Regions from separate parts of the Mus musculus genome. Here regions 2 and 3 are each reported to be linked to region 1. Evidence: microRNA targets listed by miRTarBase, many of them from high-throughput screens and not tested one by one. Region 1 holds a microRNA gene; each other region holds the end of a gene's coding sequence.

The links. Region 1 holds the annotated microRNA mmu-miR-340-5p (UUAUAAAGCAAUGAGACUGAUU, at 1,295-1,316, shown strand). A microRNA usually pairs through its seed, bases 2 to 8, with sites in the 3' UTR of a target mRNA and lowers its output. Matches are read on the target gene's strand: a 7mer-m8 pairs with bases 2 to 8, a 7mer-A1 pairs with bases 2 to 7 and ends in A, and an 8mer does both.
Region 2: miRTarBase lists Cntn3 as a target of mmu-miR-340-5p. Seed matches in the 3' UTR shown: 7mer-A1 at 1,110-1,116, 7mer-A1 at 1,584-1,590 and 7mer-A1 at 2,419-2,425.
Region 3: the mRNA of Snapc1 is a reported target of mmu-miR-340-5p. The part of its 3' UTR that is shown has no 7-base or 8-base seed match.

The regions. Positions count from the first base shown.
Region 1 is chr11:50,068,426-50,071,425 of GRCm38, forward strand. It overlaps Mir340 (microRNA 340), which reads left to right and starts at 1,277; the gene lies at 1,277-1,374. Rnf130 (ring finger protein 130) reads left to right here. Exons shown (of 9, transcript NM_021540.4): 3 at 2,746-2,996.
Region 2 is chr6:102,160,165-102,165,736 of GRCm38, reverse strand. Cntn3 (contactin 3) reads left to right here. Exons shown (of 22, transcript NM_008779.2): 22 at 319-2,431. The coding sequence ends at 419. Among named protein-coding and RNA genes, the nearest start is that of 4930587E11Rik, 100 kb to the left of the region's middle.
Region 3 is chr12:73,983,575-73,989,146 of GRCm38, forward strand. Snapc1 (small nuclear RNA activating complex, polypeptide 1) reads left to right here. Exons shown (of 10, transcript NM_178392.5): 10 at 289-5,392. The coding sequence ends at 323. Among named protein-coding and RNA genes, the nearest start is that of Syt16, 11 kb to the right of the region's middle.

The DNA of each region.
Region 1 (3,000 bases):
TCAGAGGTTTCCAGGGCATTCTTCTGCTCATGGAGAGAACCTGAGTTCAATTCCCAGCACCCACAACAGGTCTCTCACAACTGCCCGTATCCCCCCTTCCAGGGGGTCTGTGACTCCTGGTCTCCACAGGCAACTATAACTTGCATGCACAAAGCTACACACATAAACACATAATTGAAATTAACAGTGTTTTTAAAAAGGTGTGAGTTCTTGGCATCCAGTTCCTACCTACAGTTTGCTGCCATTCTTCCCCACCATGATGGAACTATAAGCCAAACAAGCCCCTCCTTGTATACGTTATGTTGGCTATGATGTTTAACCACAGCAGTAGAAAAGGAACACATAGCTGCATGATTGTTGAACTCCAAAGCCATGTCTTGGTGTTTCAGAACACAGGCATAGGGGTGATCTGGTCACATTCTTTGTATCTGTTTAATGTTTCCATTACTTCAGTCTAATTAACCCCTCTCTCCTACCAGCTACTGCTACTCTAATCCTAGTTTTATCCTGAGGGTTAAGTTTCCTCTGTTGTCATCATCCCTCCTGAATCTGCACCAACTCTCCCAAGAGTTTTTTGTTTTGTTTTTAAGGTTTATTTACTTTTTTATTGTGTGTGTGTGTGTGTGTGTGTGTGTGTGTATACCTGCATGAGTCTATGTGCACCATGTGTACAGAGCCCTCGAAGGCCAGAAGAGAGTGTCTGTTCCCTCTAGAATTGGAGTTACAGTAGTTATGAGCTGCCATATTGATGCTGGGAACCAAACCTCGTCCTCTGCAAGATCAACCAGTGCTCTTAGCCATCTCTTTAGTCCCATCCCCATTTGTAAATGTCTGAGCCATCTTGTTAGGCTCTTTGAACCCAGCCCAGCTCTAGATGTTGGGGAGAAAGAAACTTTTTTCCTAGGAGGGTTTGTAGTTTGCTTCATCACCTTCTGTAAGAGATCACTGCCTTCACTAATATCAGATGTGCTGCTGTACTTTTTTATTTGATCATTTTCAGTCTCCTTTGGCAACATTGCCCAGTCTCCTCTTTTTGCTAGGATGATAAAGCTACAGTGAGATCTATTCACTCTTGTCCTCCTAACAGTGAATATTGACAAGTGTTGAACTAATTAAATTTTTCTTTCCCAAACAGCTTCCTGTTGAGATTAGTTGACGCGCCCATTTAGTGTTCGGTTAAGGAAATTACTGGATTGGTTGCCTTGGCTACCTGTGCAGCTCTCCCCACTTCCAGCTTGAGTCTTCAAGAGGGAGCCTCAGAACTGATTTCTAAAACCAATTGTACTTGGTGTGATTATAAAGCAATGAGACTGATTGTCATATGTCGTTTGTGGGATCCGTCTCAGTTACTTTATAGCCATACCTGGTATCTTAACACCACAGATCATGCCTGTTGATCAACATTGTAAAAGCACAAACTTAAGGTTTCTAAATGGAAATTTAAACTGGTTTAGCATTCTTTTATGATTCTTTTTAACTCACTCACCAGAGGCAGATGTTAACTTAATAATGCTAGTTTTAATTTTGTTGTCTCCTTTTTGTTTATAGATTTTTTAAGCAAAAATAAACTGGTAAACTACTACTCTAATAAAGTGAATAAACCGTTTTGAATACAGTATTATGCAAATATATATTCCATTGAGCTATATTTTTTTCAAAACTTCTGTTACTGAGTTTCTGTTGTGTCTCATCTTGACTGCTAAAGGTAACAAGAAATCAAAACAAGTGTTTCTAATATTTGTTGACAGAGCCTTCAAAAGGTCAGGTCTGGGGTCTCTGCTTGCTGTTTTGAGAGGGTATTTTGTGTTTGGATGCACAATCCTCCTTCATACTCACAAAAGTGACCTTGGTGAGTAGCTGCTCACTCTGACTTAAAACAGGCCCTTGAAGCCATGTGAGAAAAGGACTTGAAAACACAACTGAACCATCCTTGTAATTAACTTATAAAAGTTGTGCCTGTGGGCAGAACTCTGAACAGCTTTTAGGAACTGAAGGTTTTAGGTATCATTATGGGTAGTAGTCCAGAAAGTTGAAACTTGGGCCTGCCTAGAGGATTTGAGTGCGCTGGGCATGGTTAAACAAGGTGGAAAACTAACATAAAACTCAAGTCTGAGGCTAGCCGAGGCAATGTGAGATGCTGGCTCCAAACTGGGTGGGAAAATTGTTGCGTTTGAGCTCCAGAAGTGCCCTGGAAGGAGCTTTACTGTAGACAGAAGACCAAAGTTAGTTTCAAAGGTTGTTGGTAAAAGATGTTGCCGTTCGGCACTTGTCACTCCATAGCCAAGTGTGTGCCCTAAGAAGTACCCTTCTTTCTGTTTCTTAGAGCAGTCCTTGCTCAGCAGTGCGTGTGAGGATGAGTAGTGCAAGGACCACCTGTTCAGACTGTAAATGACAGTGCTTCTCTGTCAGAACTTTCCAGATTGATTGCTATAGAAAGGTTTTCTACTGAAGACTTAACCTGATTTAGTCACAGGTGGCTGCTTTCACAGTGCTTCTAATGCACCGGTAAGGCAGTTTGTGCATTGTTAACACCACAGTTGCTTTATGCGTTACCTGTTTGGAGCACTGTACATGTTCTCATGCCTGTCAGTTTACACAGCTGCAGCCTCATGTCAGTTGAACTGGAATCTATAAACCTTAGTGAAAATTATGGTAATTTCTCTATGGAGCATATGTGTATATTTATTTGATGTGTCTATGAATTTCAGATGTCACTTTAGTCTGTGTATTTGTTTTACATTACAGGCACGGGAGATATTATTGCTGTCATGATAACAGAATTGAGGGGTAAGGATATTTTGAGTTATCTGGAGAAAAACATCTCTGTACAAATGACAATAGCTGTTGGAACTCGAATGCCGCCAAAGAACTTCAGCCGTGGCTCTCTAGTCTTCGTGTCAATCTCCTTTATTGTTTTGATGATTATTTCTTCAGCGTGGCTCATATTCTACTTCATTCAGAAGATCAGGTACACAAATGCTCGGGACAGGAACCAGGTGA
Region 2 (5,572 bases), not on the chromosome of region 1:
GCTGATGCTTAAAATTCTTCAGTTACCTGGGAAACAGAGGGAGAGGTCCAGAGCCTTAAAGACCTTCAAGGCTGTTGCTGCTGCTGTTTTTGTTGTTGTTGTTGCTGCTGCTGCTGCTCCTCCTCCTCTTCTTCCTCCTCCTCCTCTTCCTCCTCCTCCTCCTACTACTACTACTACTACTACTACTACTACTTCTAGCATGAATATCATTACAACTGAAAACAGGATTTCAGCATAAGTTTAGAGGGAACAGAAACATTCAGTCTCCAGTGTTCTGATTACCACCCTTGCTAATGAGCCCTTTATCATCTTTGACAGGTATGGATGCAAGAGGATCCACGTCAGCCATTTCTAACATCCACCCTTTGTCAGGTTATATGTCTGTCCTACTGTTCTTTATTGTAAATGCTTTGTGGTGATAGGGCTTTTTTTTTATTATTTCCTGGAAAGTTAATTGGTTACCCCCATAAAAAAAGTGCTTTCTGAAACAGTGATTATGCATGTTGTTTTCAGCTATGTGTTTTTAAATTTCTACTTCATTATAGGTAAAATATGAATCTAATAAAAACAGTAAATCCTTTTAGAGGAATCTGAGATGCCTTAATATTTGCTTGGTAAACCAAAGGAACTTGCAAATTACATACTGCAAACTTTTGATAGAAATATTCTTATGTTATGAGTTTAAACACTTTCCTATGTGTGAGGCACATACACAGGATGCATAAAAACACAGTGCACACATGATGTATGGAGACACATAGTACATACACGGTACACACAGCACACACAATGCACAAACACACACACACACACACACACACACACACACACACACACACACACAGAGTTTTTCTATACTAAAATATTTCTCATTTATTCCAAATGTTCCTTTCCCATTGTTACAATATTACCTATCATTTCTAAATACTAATTTGACTCCTCAGAGGAAAATGCACTTAAACAGTTATTCTGGACTGGAGCAGCCTGGAAGGGCGTATTGTCAGAAAATGATACTCTGAGCTTGGGGAAGTGACATTTGCTTCAATGTGCTACTGTATGGCTGCGAGATTCCCTTTGTCACTTCATCCTCTCATCTTTCACTTATTTATTTTATAAAATGAGGTGACAATATTTCTCCTATCAGCCTTTACTGCAAGAATCCGTTGTTTAAAACAAAGGAAGTAATGGGAAAGCATTGTTTCCTCCAATGTGCAATGTCCCTGTGCAGAATCTTACATGAAGCTACTAAGGTGACACAGAACAGGCACTTCTTTGAAGCTTGCTGGCATTGCATGCTCTTCTTAGAATTATCCCTCTTCTTCAAAGATGGAAATTGAACCTGAGTGAAGATTGTAACATTGTTTCTTTTTGTTGGTATTTACAAAGAAAAAGATGGAACATGGAAATGAATACATTTTATCCTTCCTTAAAAATTAAAGTGAACTTACTTGGGAAAGAGAATTAGGACTCATCCCCTTCCCATGTAAAAATAAGCTTTCAGGTTTTGTCAAATCCCAGTAGAGAAAATAATGAAAAAGCTGTATCTTAACCCAAATATAAAACAAAATGCATATAATTCTTCATTTATAATTTCTGATCCTATTAAGGGACTCTCTCTTGGTTTGGATGGCAGAGATGGATTTTTAATGGAATTCCACTCTCTATCTCATCGAGCCAGGCAGCCTTTTCCATTCCCAAGTAAAATTTGTAAAAGAACATGGTGATGTTGCTGGCTTTGATATGGATGAGTCGAGTCTTTCAATATGTGATTTTCAAAGGACTGTGGAAGACATGGCTTGGCAGTAACATGTAGAAGGTATATGAAAAATAGCAGATTGAGTGCTAGAATTTTTTACCACTTACCTACTATTTTCGCATTTTGCTGGGATTTTTTTCTTATTACCAAAGGTAGCAAAATTGGAAATCGATGGTATAGCTCTCAAGCAACATTAAACCTTAGCCAAATGCTGATACCTTTCTAGTGTCCCACCCTTCTTTAGAGATTCCATTTAAGACAAGGTTGCTATGTAAAAAGAAGAATGGGGTTTTTTTTTAAGTTTTTCTGTAGGGTCTGTATATATTGTACATATCAAGAAGAAATCCGAATGACTAGTGGATTTCCTATGACCATTGTTATTTCCAGTCAAAATGTGGGGTCACACTTTCTCCAACCCCTGTGCTTTATGGTACACATAACAGAACTATACCTTTTTTATTTTCTGATGACTCCAAGAATTTGTTCCTATAGTTTTCTTTTACAAGATGGCTATTCTCTTGTTTCCTGTTATTTCTATCAGTATCATCTCCATGAGATGTACACACTGTTTCATATTGAAAAGTCTAAATTTTACTGTTTAAATTCCTGTGTGTGTATCCTATGGTTATCTGTATGTATGATTTTCTATTATTCTAATAAAATTTATAATAATCAAATTGTTCTACATTGTTTATTGTGGTTTGGTGGAGGGATATATCCACATTGGGGAGTGGGGGCATGCCATTAGAGCGACACTGTTCTTACCATTCCTCACACTTTTCAGCCTACATTTGACTTTGCATCTTTTAGACGAATATTTTAATATTTTTGTTTATGCTCTTCTAAGTCAGTAAAACCTGTAATTTGATACAATGTCTTCTACATTCAGCATATCTCCTATGTTCATCAAAGGGCTTGATAGAAAAATTTAAAAATATCTAAAATCAAAAATATCTAATATCTAATAGACTTATGATGCCTAATTTCTCCTCGCTTGATTTTGTCATTAGTAGAATCTCACACAGTTTTGACAAAAGTGGTTTTTTGTTTGTTTGTTTTTTGTTTTGTTGTCATTGTTGTTGTTTTTGTTTGGTTGTTTTTTTTAAAACAGTTTCAATATACCACATTCTACATAGATTTTTCTCTTTGGTGTCAGAGGTAGACATTGCTTAAAACGATCGCTGTGATATAGTACACTCTAAATATCTGTAAACTTACTAATGATTCCTTTTTTTAATTTGTAAACAATTTCAGAAGTTAATGTTAGTCTAAGGGAAATGAGAACAAAAATACTCCAGTCATCTTTTCACAGTAGGCATGGCGTTTATAGAAGAATTAAAGGAAAAACTCTGTAGTCTCTCTCTCTCTCTCTCTCTCTCTCTCTCTCTCTCTCTCTCTCTCTCACATCTCTCATCTCTCCTCTTTCTGCATCTTGTGTGTGTGTGTGTGTGTGTGTGTGTGTGTGTGTGTGTGTGTTGTGTTGTGTTTCATGGTTGTCTGTATGATATGTGGGGTGTGGGCAGTTAAATTGAGATGGTTGTATTAGTATCTTCTAATAAAAGGCAAATACTTTGGGAGTGTACCGATCGAGAGCATACATAAATCAGTCCTTATTCCTGGTGCTGGCGGGATGGAAGAACGAGGGACCAGCTTTACGTGATACCTCTGCCAACATCAGGACACCCTCACTAACTGCCGGTCATGGTCTCTTGCTCCAGTTCCAAAGCTTCAGATTCCCTTTCTGAGGAATGCAAGTATGGTAGGATTCCCCTCATTGAGGTTTTTCTTTGACAACTACTGAGCCCCTTGGCGCAGAATGAGGACACTCTGTCCAACGACCTGAAGCTGTAGATACTACCCACTTATGAGAAAGGATATTAGTAAGGTAAATGGTGTGTGTAAGTCTTATAGAGTCCTACTGTCATCATCCCTTTAGGTAGGAAAGAAACCCTGGAGAACAAAAGAGCTCCCCTGGAAGGTAGTTTTATGTCTCTCTTAATTTCATTGTACTGAGACCACGCTGTATGATTCTCAGAGCTTTAGAAGAAAAGCGACTCTGGAATTCAGTTAGTCTAAGCAGATCTGTAACACTGTCCATGTTCAAAGTTACTCACTTACTCTCTGTGACTTACTGAGTTAACTAACCCCTACATCTCTTTAGTCAGGTTCCATGGATCCCATTTCACAGATGATGAACAGTTAGCAACTTATACAAGGTCATCCTATGACAAGCACAAGAAAATTCAACTCAAGGTAGTTCAGCTTCAGCCCTTGAACATTGAGTGAGGTGAATATCTTTGTCTCTCTTAACATTAAATACATCAGGCCGGAAGGTTCTGAGCAGCTTGGGTTTGACTTCAGAGTAGACTTCGTGCCTCCTTTATTAAGCACATGATCGGGGAACCTAAAGATTCTTAATTAATTTTCATAATACTTTTTCTTTAAAACTTTTGAAGATGGCATGAGTTGTTTTTTCAATCATCTCTGTCATGTTCAGTGCAACCCAACCAGCTTAACTAAGTAGGATGAAGCAAATGTGACGGGAGGAGAATGTTACAGACTCCTCTATTCCAATTAAAATCCCTCCTGCTGGTTCACATTCACACAATGCCAGCTTTTTTTAAATTTAAAATTAATCTTAATTGGGTTCAATTTTTTTCAAAAGCATTTTACCCTTTTTAAAAATGAGAAAAGATGCATGGGTGTTCAGTGTAATTTGGATATACTTCGGTAAATATTGGAAGCAAAAACAACCCAAAACAGTAATTATGAAATCAGCAATTAGTAAACTCTGCCATTCTTTTGAAAGAAAATATGTAAACAGATTGAACTGCGGTGCATTTCAGTCATTAGGTATTTTATTGTTGTTGTTTTTATTGAGGCATGTACCCTAATTTCATGTGCCTTGCTTTACATGCAGGCAATAATTACGTCCTAGACTTCACAGAGAATCCATACACTGATAAGAAAATTAAGCTTGCAAAGGATGAACTCTTCCTTATTTACTTGCCTTTATTCTCATCTTGTTGATTCCTACTTTACCCTTTGAAATGATCTTAGCTCCTTGTGGTCCTACCTTGATCATCAATACTGTGGGGAAGAGAGAGAATCAGGCCCTGTGTAATTGAATATTACCTGAGGAAACACAGAAAAGGCAGTAACAAATGATAAGGCTAGCAAATGAGCACATCTACTCTGGCCTCGGACAGTAGAAATTGACAGACACAAAGCTCTGTAAGATGTACCTCTGTGCCTGGCTAATGAGGACCTGAAATGTCCCTGTCAGGGGGATTCTTGCATCAGCATTTGCAAGTTTCCAGTGTCCTCATGGGGGAGTTTTTGCCAGGTTGAGGTTTAAAGATAACAAAGAATGGCCATTGGGATGTTAATCTCTGTGTAACACTGTCCTCATGTGGGATTCCTCTTTCCACATTCATTACCAGCTGGATGAAATAACCAGCCAGTTCTCACCATTTTTACTTTCCCTCTCCTATTTTACTTCATTAATTTCCCCCCTACATTGATTGCTCCTGCCAATGGTAAGTTATGACCGTTAGGAAAATAGGAGGTGTTGTACAATGTATATGAAACAGTTCATAGCGGCAGACATATATTAAAAAGTTAATAAATCTGGGAAGAAAGTTGACTCAGAGACTGAGAGCATTCGAGACAGAATCTGACTTGAATCCCAACTGTGTCCCTAAAATCTATCTGGGCCTTGGCATATAAGTTAATTTTCCCAAATATCTAAAAATTATACACACACACACACACACACACACACTGTACCTACAGAATGTGACTGCAGGACCCTTT
Region 3 (5,572 bases), not on the chromosome of region 1:
CTAGCCCAACCTGAACCATGTTGTAGCTTTTATTATATATGTATCTTTACATTTTAATATATATTATGCATTTTAATGTCTGTGTGTGCGTGGTGTGTGTGTGTGTGCGTGCGTGTGTGAGTGCGCATTATTTATCTACCTGTTTCCTTCTTGGGTCTTGGCTGTGGGACATTATTGGTTGGGTTAGTCTGTTTTAAATATATGCAGGTAAAATGTGTATTATTATATAAACCTTTCATTTAGATGTCAGTATTTTAATCCATGGAGTTCTTAACCTTGTATCCACAGAGTTCACTGCGCCCAAGAGGAAGAGAAAATGCTGAACCGGGAGGCTGGTGGAGTTTTAAATTTTGAGCTTTCCAACAGAAGAAAGGTGTCATGTGTTCTAAGCAGGAAGTAGCCAGTGAAGACTGGATCTGAGAACAAGCTCATTTCTGTGAGATGGAAGAGCATGCCATAGGCCAAGAGTTGAGTAAAGGTTTACTCTGAAGATTAATTTTAACATTTTTGTTAATATTGCAATTTTAACAAATTACATTGTAGTTTGTTACAGAATAGATTGTAAATGTGTTAAACTTGTTAGACTTGTTAGGGGTCTGTATGAGTGGAGATAGAGTTTCTATTGCCTTCAGAATGTAATAGAAAGAATTACATATTTGTGAGTTAGTACTCTTTCCTGAAAGTTTTTGTGCTGTACTAATGCATTTATATATAAATGATTCATACCTGTCACCTAGCAACGGATTTGGCTGGGGTTTTTGTTGAATATTTTGTGTGTTATGGTTAAGTGCAATAAAAATTTTGCCCCCTTGTTTTATCTTCTAGTGTGTGAAATTTTCATGGCCAATAACTTGACTGATACCTTAGTAAGTTACGGCTGCCTTCGTGCTTACGATGTACCCTTACTTCCTCATTGATTTGGACAGGGTCTGCCTGTGTATGCTAGGCTGGCCTTGAACTCTCCATGCGAGTACTGCCTTGCTCGGCCTCCCCACTGCTGGGATTATAGATAATGCACCGCCGGGCCTCACTCCTTACCCTCTGTAGTATTTGCTTTAAAGTTCCCATTGGTCTACTGTATATGAATGCATAGGTACCTGTGTGTGTGTCCTTGTCTACACATAAGATTAATTAATACACTGTTTAATGCTTATGTACTGTCTAATAGGCCCATAGGAGCAGTCATGTAGATTCTGAAACGTGTCTTTGACACAGAACTTTTGTAAATCACAGAAAAGATGTCTCTAGTCACGTGTGTGCTGCTGTTTTAATTTCACACCCCTGGAGTTTTAAGTGGAGATGGCTTTAGCTGTGCTTGAAAGCTGCCAACACACGGCCTCTGTGTTGTGAGGCTAATGCAGCCTGACATATAGTTAATTATTAAGGCTCAAAGGCTGGCTTGAAGAGGTAATTTCCAAGTCTGATATGATTGAAAATGTATATCTTAGGTATGTAATATGTTAAGACCAAAATACTGATGTTGGCTTGGATAATACTTGACATCGTTATCCTGTTAGCTACTAAAAAGCAGTTGTTTCCTGTGTCTGACTTCAGCTCTGTCCGATAATGGGTTGGACATTACAGTGTGAACATGGGCCAGAGCTGCTGGGCTGCAACACCAGAGCTTGGTTAGTAATATGTAGCTGAGTGGATTAGCATTGTACAGCTGAAACGCTATGTACCTGAGTCGTAATCTATTTTTCACAAAGCGCTTATAAAAGACCATGGTGTCATTTCACAGACAAAGGGATGGTGAGTAGCAAACAGTGTTGTCATAGTAACCGAAAGTTTGTGTTTGCCCAGCTCCCTGAGTTGATCAGGCTAACCTGTGGTTCACTCCACAGCTGAAGGGAACCCTCATTACCTTGTGTCAATTTTAATTAGGTATAATGAATACCATCTTCTCAGACTACCTTGGGTATAGTGAAAGACTGGTACCTCTGTCTGTTTATCTGTCTACTTACGTGTCTACCTATGTCTTGAGAAAATACCTTAAAAACAAACTTTGCACTGAAAGTTACTTTTATTTTTCTCAGGTTAGCTTTGGAAAATAACTGTAGTTACTAATGCCTTCCTTACCCTTCATTCTTGAATTAAATTACAGTTTGAAGAAGGCTTACTTTTTAAATGGCTTAGAAAGAACTCTGTGGGTGTTAAAACTATTCACATTTTCATTTATCTTTTGAGCGACTATGTAGTAATTTTCATTGCACATTTTTCTTATTCTCTGTGTTAATATAAATGTCAAAGCCCAGACTTGAGGTTGTATAATCCCTTTTATGTGATATTTTTAAATGTCTGAATTATTCATTCTACTGTGCTGTGTATTACAGGTCTGAATTTTTAAGAGACATTCAAGCAGGCTCCTTTCAGTTGCAAGAAACAAAAGCATACTCCCACTATCGTAAATGCTGGGAGCTTACTGGAAGATTATGGTTAAATAAGTAAGGCACTCATCAAAGACAGCTTCCTCAAGGGTTTGGGAATTAGCTATAGGCCTCTCTTAACACCAAATGATGCTCTTAGCTAGGGTGGAGATCCAAATCAGTTGTGTCCCATGTACCAGAGGGCATGGCAGATGACAGAGAAGGACCCATCTGTGGCAGCTTTCCTCAGCAAAGGTGAGAAAGGTCAGGCCTTTACAGTCTCACGGGTTTCTCAGTGTAGTCGTGGTTTGACAAAATGCAGTGTCAGCCTTGCACCTTCAGGATGTAGTTAAAGGGACACGCTATTCCCTTCACAGGTAAGTCACTGCACAGTGGTGAAGGACCTCAGCTCTGGGGCAGGCTGGGTTTGCTCTGGCATTTAATAATTTATGCCATCTGTAATAATTTGGGGCTGCATATACTGTAACACATTAATAGACTGGCAGAGGCTTCACCAGTGAATGTTTTACACCCAGTCCTTTGTTACAGTTGGCAAGTTGCCCATGCTGGACTTGGGATTCACTGTGTAGCCCAGGCACGGCTTGAACCTTCTATCCTCCTGTCTCACTTTCCCAAGTAGGTGGGACTACAGACTGCCACCTAGCAACAGTCCTGTGTTTACTCCCGTAAATCGAACCCACTGCTCTTTATTCCTCTGGGAAAGCCGTTGGGAGTAGATCTCGGATGGTTCGTTTTCAGTCTGAAGAAATTAATACTGATTTATTTATATATATATCAGCACGGTTGCAGACCAGTTCTATCATATTTTGTTTGTCTGAAAAAATATCTTCATTTCTGAATGAAATTGTTTTTGCAAGATGTAGAATTCTAGTTGTTTCAGCTCTTTCCCCCTTTCTGTCAACACTTGCAAGACTTTTTTCACTCCATCATCATCAGCCTGCTTTGTCTCTGGCAGGAAATTAGAATTTGTTCCTCCAGTCCCTCGTGTACCTCAATCTTTTTTTCTTTGTGTTATATTTTTGTCTGTCTGTCTGTCTGTCTGTCTGTCTGTCTGTCTGTCTATTTGATGGTGGGACCCATGGCCTTCATATACTAACCACACGCTCTACCAGAAGTTCCTCCAGGCCCTCCCTGGCTGCCTGCAGGCTTTGTTGTTTGTTATTCAGTCTGATACAGGTCTGGTGTGGTTGGCTTTTCTAACCCATGATGCATTCTGCACTCTCCTCACTTGCTTCTCTCTCTGGGACTTGAGCCTTGTTTGCTAATTACTTTGTACTCTCTCTTGGGTTGTATTTTGTTTTCTCCAATAATACTTCTTCCATTGCCTCAGAGTGCCTTTTGATTTCAAGTTCACCATCTTTTCTTCTCTTGTATCCAATCTGCTCTTGATTTTCTCCGATGACTTTTCATCTGGAAGCACCGATTGTTGGTTCTGATTTCTCCTTGTCCTTTCCATCTTCATTGAAATAGTTCCTTTGTCACCTTCTCTAACCATTTGTCTTTATGTAGTTGGTGGGGTGGGGGTTGAGACAGGGTCCCTCTGTCTGTCTGTCTGTCTGTCTGTCTAAAAAAAAACTGCTGTTCTGGAACTTGCTGGGTAGACCAGGCTATCCTGAAACAGAGATCCACCTGTGTCCAGCTCTGGGATTAAAGGTGTGTGCCACCACACTCCGTTGTCACTTTTTAAAAATATGGCACTTTTACTGGAACGCAGAGTATTTGTTACATGAATATATCCTAGCAGGATTTGAACTTTCTACGCAGGAGCCTCGTGAGTCTGAAGCTGCCGAAAACTCTGCTTGGTACTTTGTGATGTCAGCCACTTATTAGCCCTAGACTCACTGTGTGATGCCAGAGAGATGAGGGGAATTTATACTCAGGTTTGGGGTGGTGTTGCTGGTGGCTCTTTTCAGAGATTTCCAACCCAGCTGATAATCAGAGAAAGAAAACTAGTTCATAAGATGACATAAACCCTTTCTTCCAGGTTGCTTTTGATCATGATCATTATTGCAGTGGTAGAAGCAAACTGGGAAGCCTTGTTACCAGAGAATTAGAGTATCATGTTAGCCTCAGCCTTTGAGAGAAGGCGATGAACCGGAGTTGTTTATGTAAATGTAATTTTAAGTGATGTGATTTTGCTAGAGCTTCAGCAGTTGCTAACCGTTTGTTAAAGGCTTTAGGTGGCTGGTTTGTCTTAGTTTCCTGCAATGTGGTTGGTGCATAGCATCCCTTGGTAGCATCGTTAGGCTGGCAAGGGCTTCACCAGTGAATGTTTTAAAACCATAAAGCATAGTTAGCTGAGCTTACGGTCTTTGTAAACTTCAACTGTTTCCTTCCACTAACAGTGCAAGAAGATACTTTGTGTATTGTATTAAAAAATGAAATACCCTGTCTTTTAAAAAACACGGTATATCTAGAAAATCATCTTGTTTGCAATTTGATAGGAACCAATCAAAAGATTTCATTTGTCTTCAGTGTGTAACAAAACCTTTTATTACCAGCGAAGTGATCTATATGTATGTGCTACCAGTGAATAACTCTTATTATTTTTTTCCATGTGCTTTCTTAGATTTACAAATATGATTTATTCCCACGACTGCAGTCTACAGCGCTAGAACAAATGTCTCTGTAATGTTTCTGGGTCTGTGTAATTAGGATTTAATTGCTTTGGAGAGGAAATGGGAGTGTAGACTGTCTCCTTGGGGCTGTATTACAGAATTTCATTTTGTTTTATTCTTTGGTGGATTTATTTTTTCCCTGATATTAACATTAATAAAGTGAGCAGAGGATTCTAACCAATTGTGCTGGCTGGATGGCTACAGGAAATGAGACAGGGCAGGTGTGGGCTTCCTGTAAGACCTTGTCGAGCCCAGAACTTGTGGCACCAGAGGGAGGGTCTAGGTCCAGCAGGGTCATAGTTCTAGCCACTTAGTTTTAAATTTATATTTTATGTATTTTATATGTTAATGTAAAATATAAAATTAAAATTTAATTTATATTTAAAATTTTGTTTTTATTTTTGAGAGCTTTATTAATGAGATATCTTTGATAGTGTTCTGTGATCATTTTCTGTATTTCATTAAAAGATTCAAGCAGAGGTATTTTACATCCCCTGTCTGATCTTTGCAATAGCTGAACTTCAGCAAGTCAGCCTTGTTGGTCTGTGTGTAGTCCTCATCCCTGGA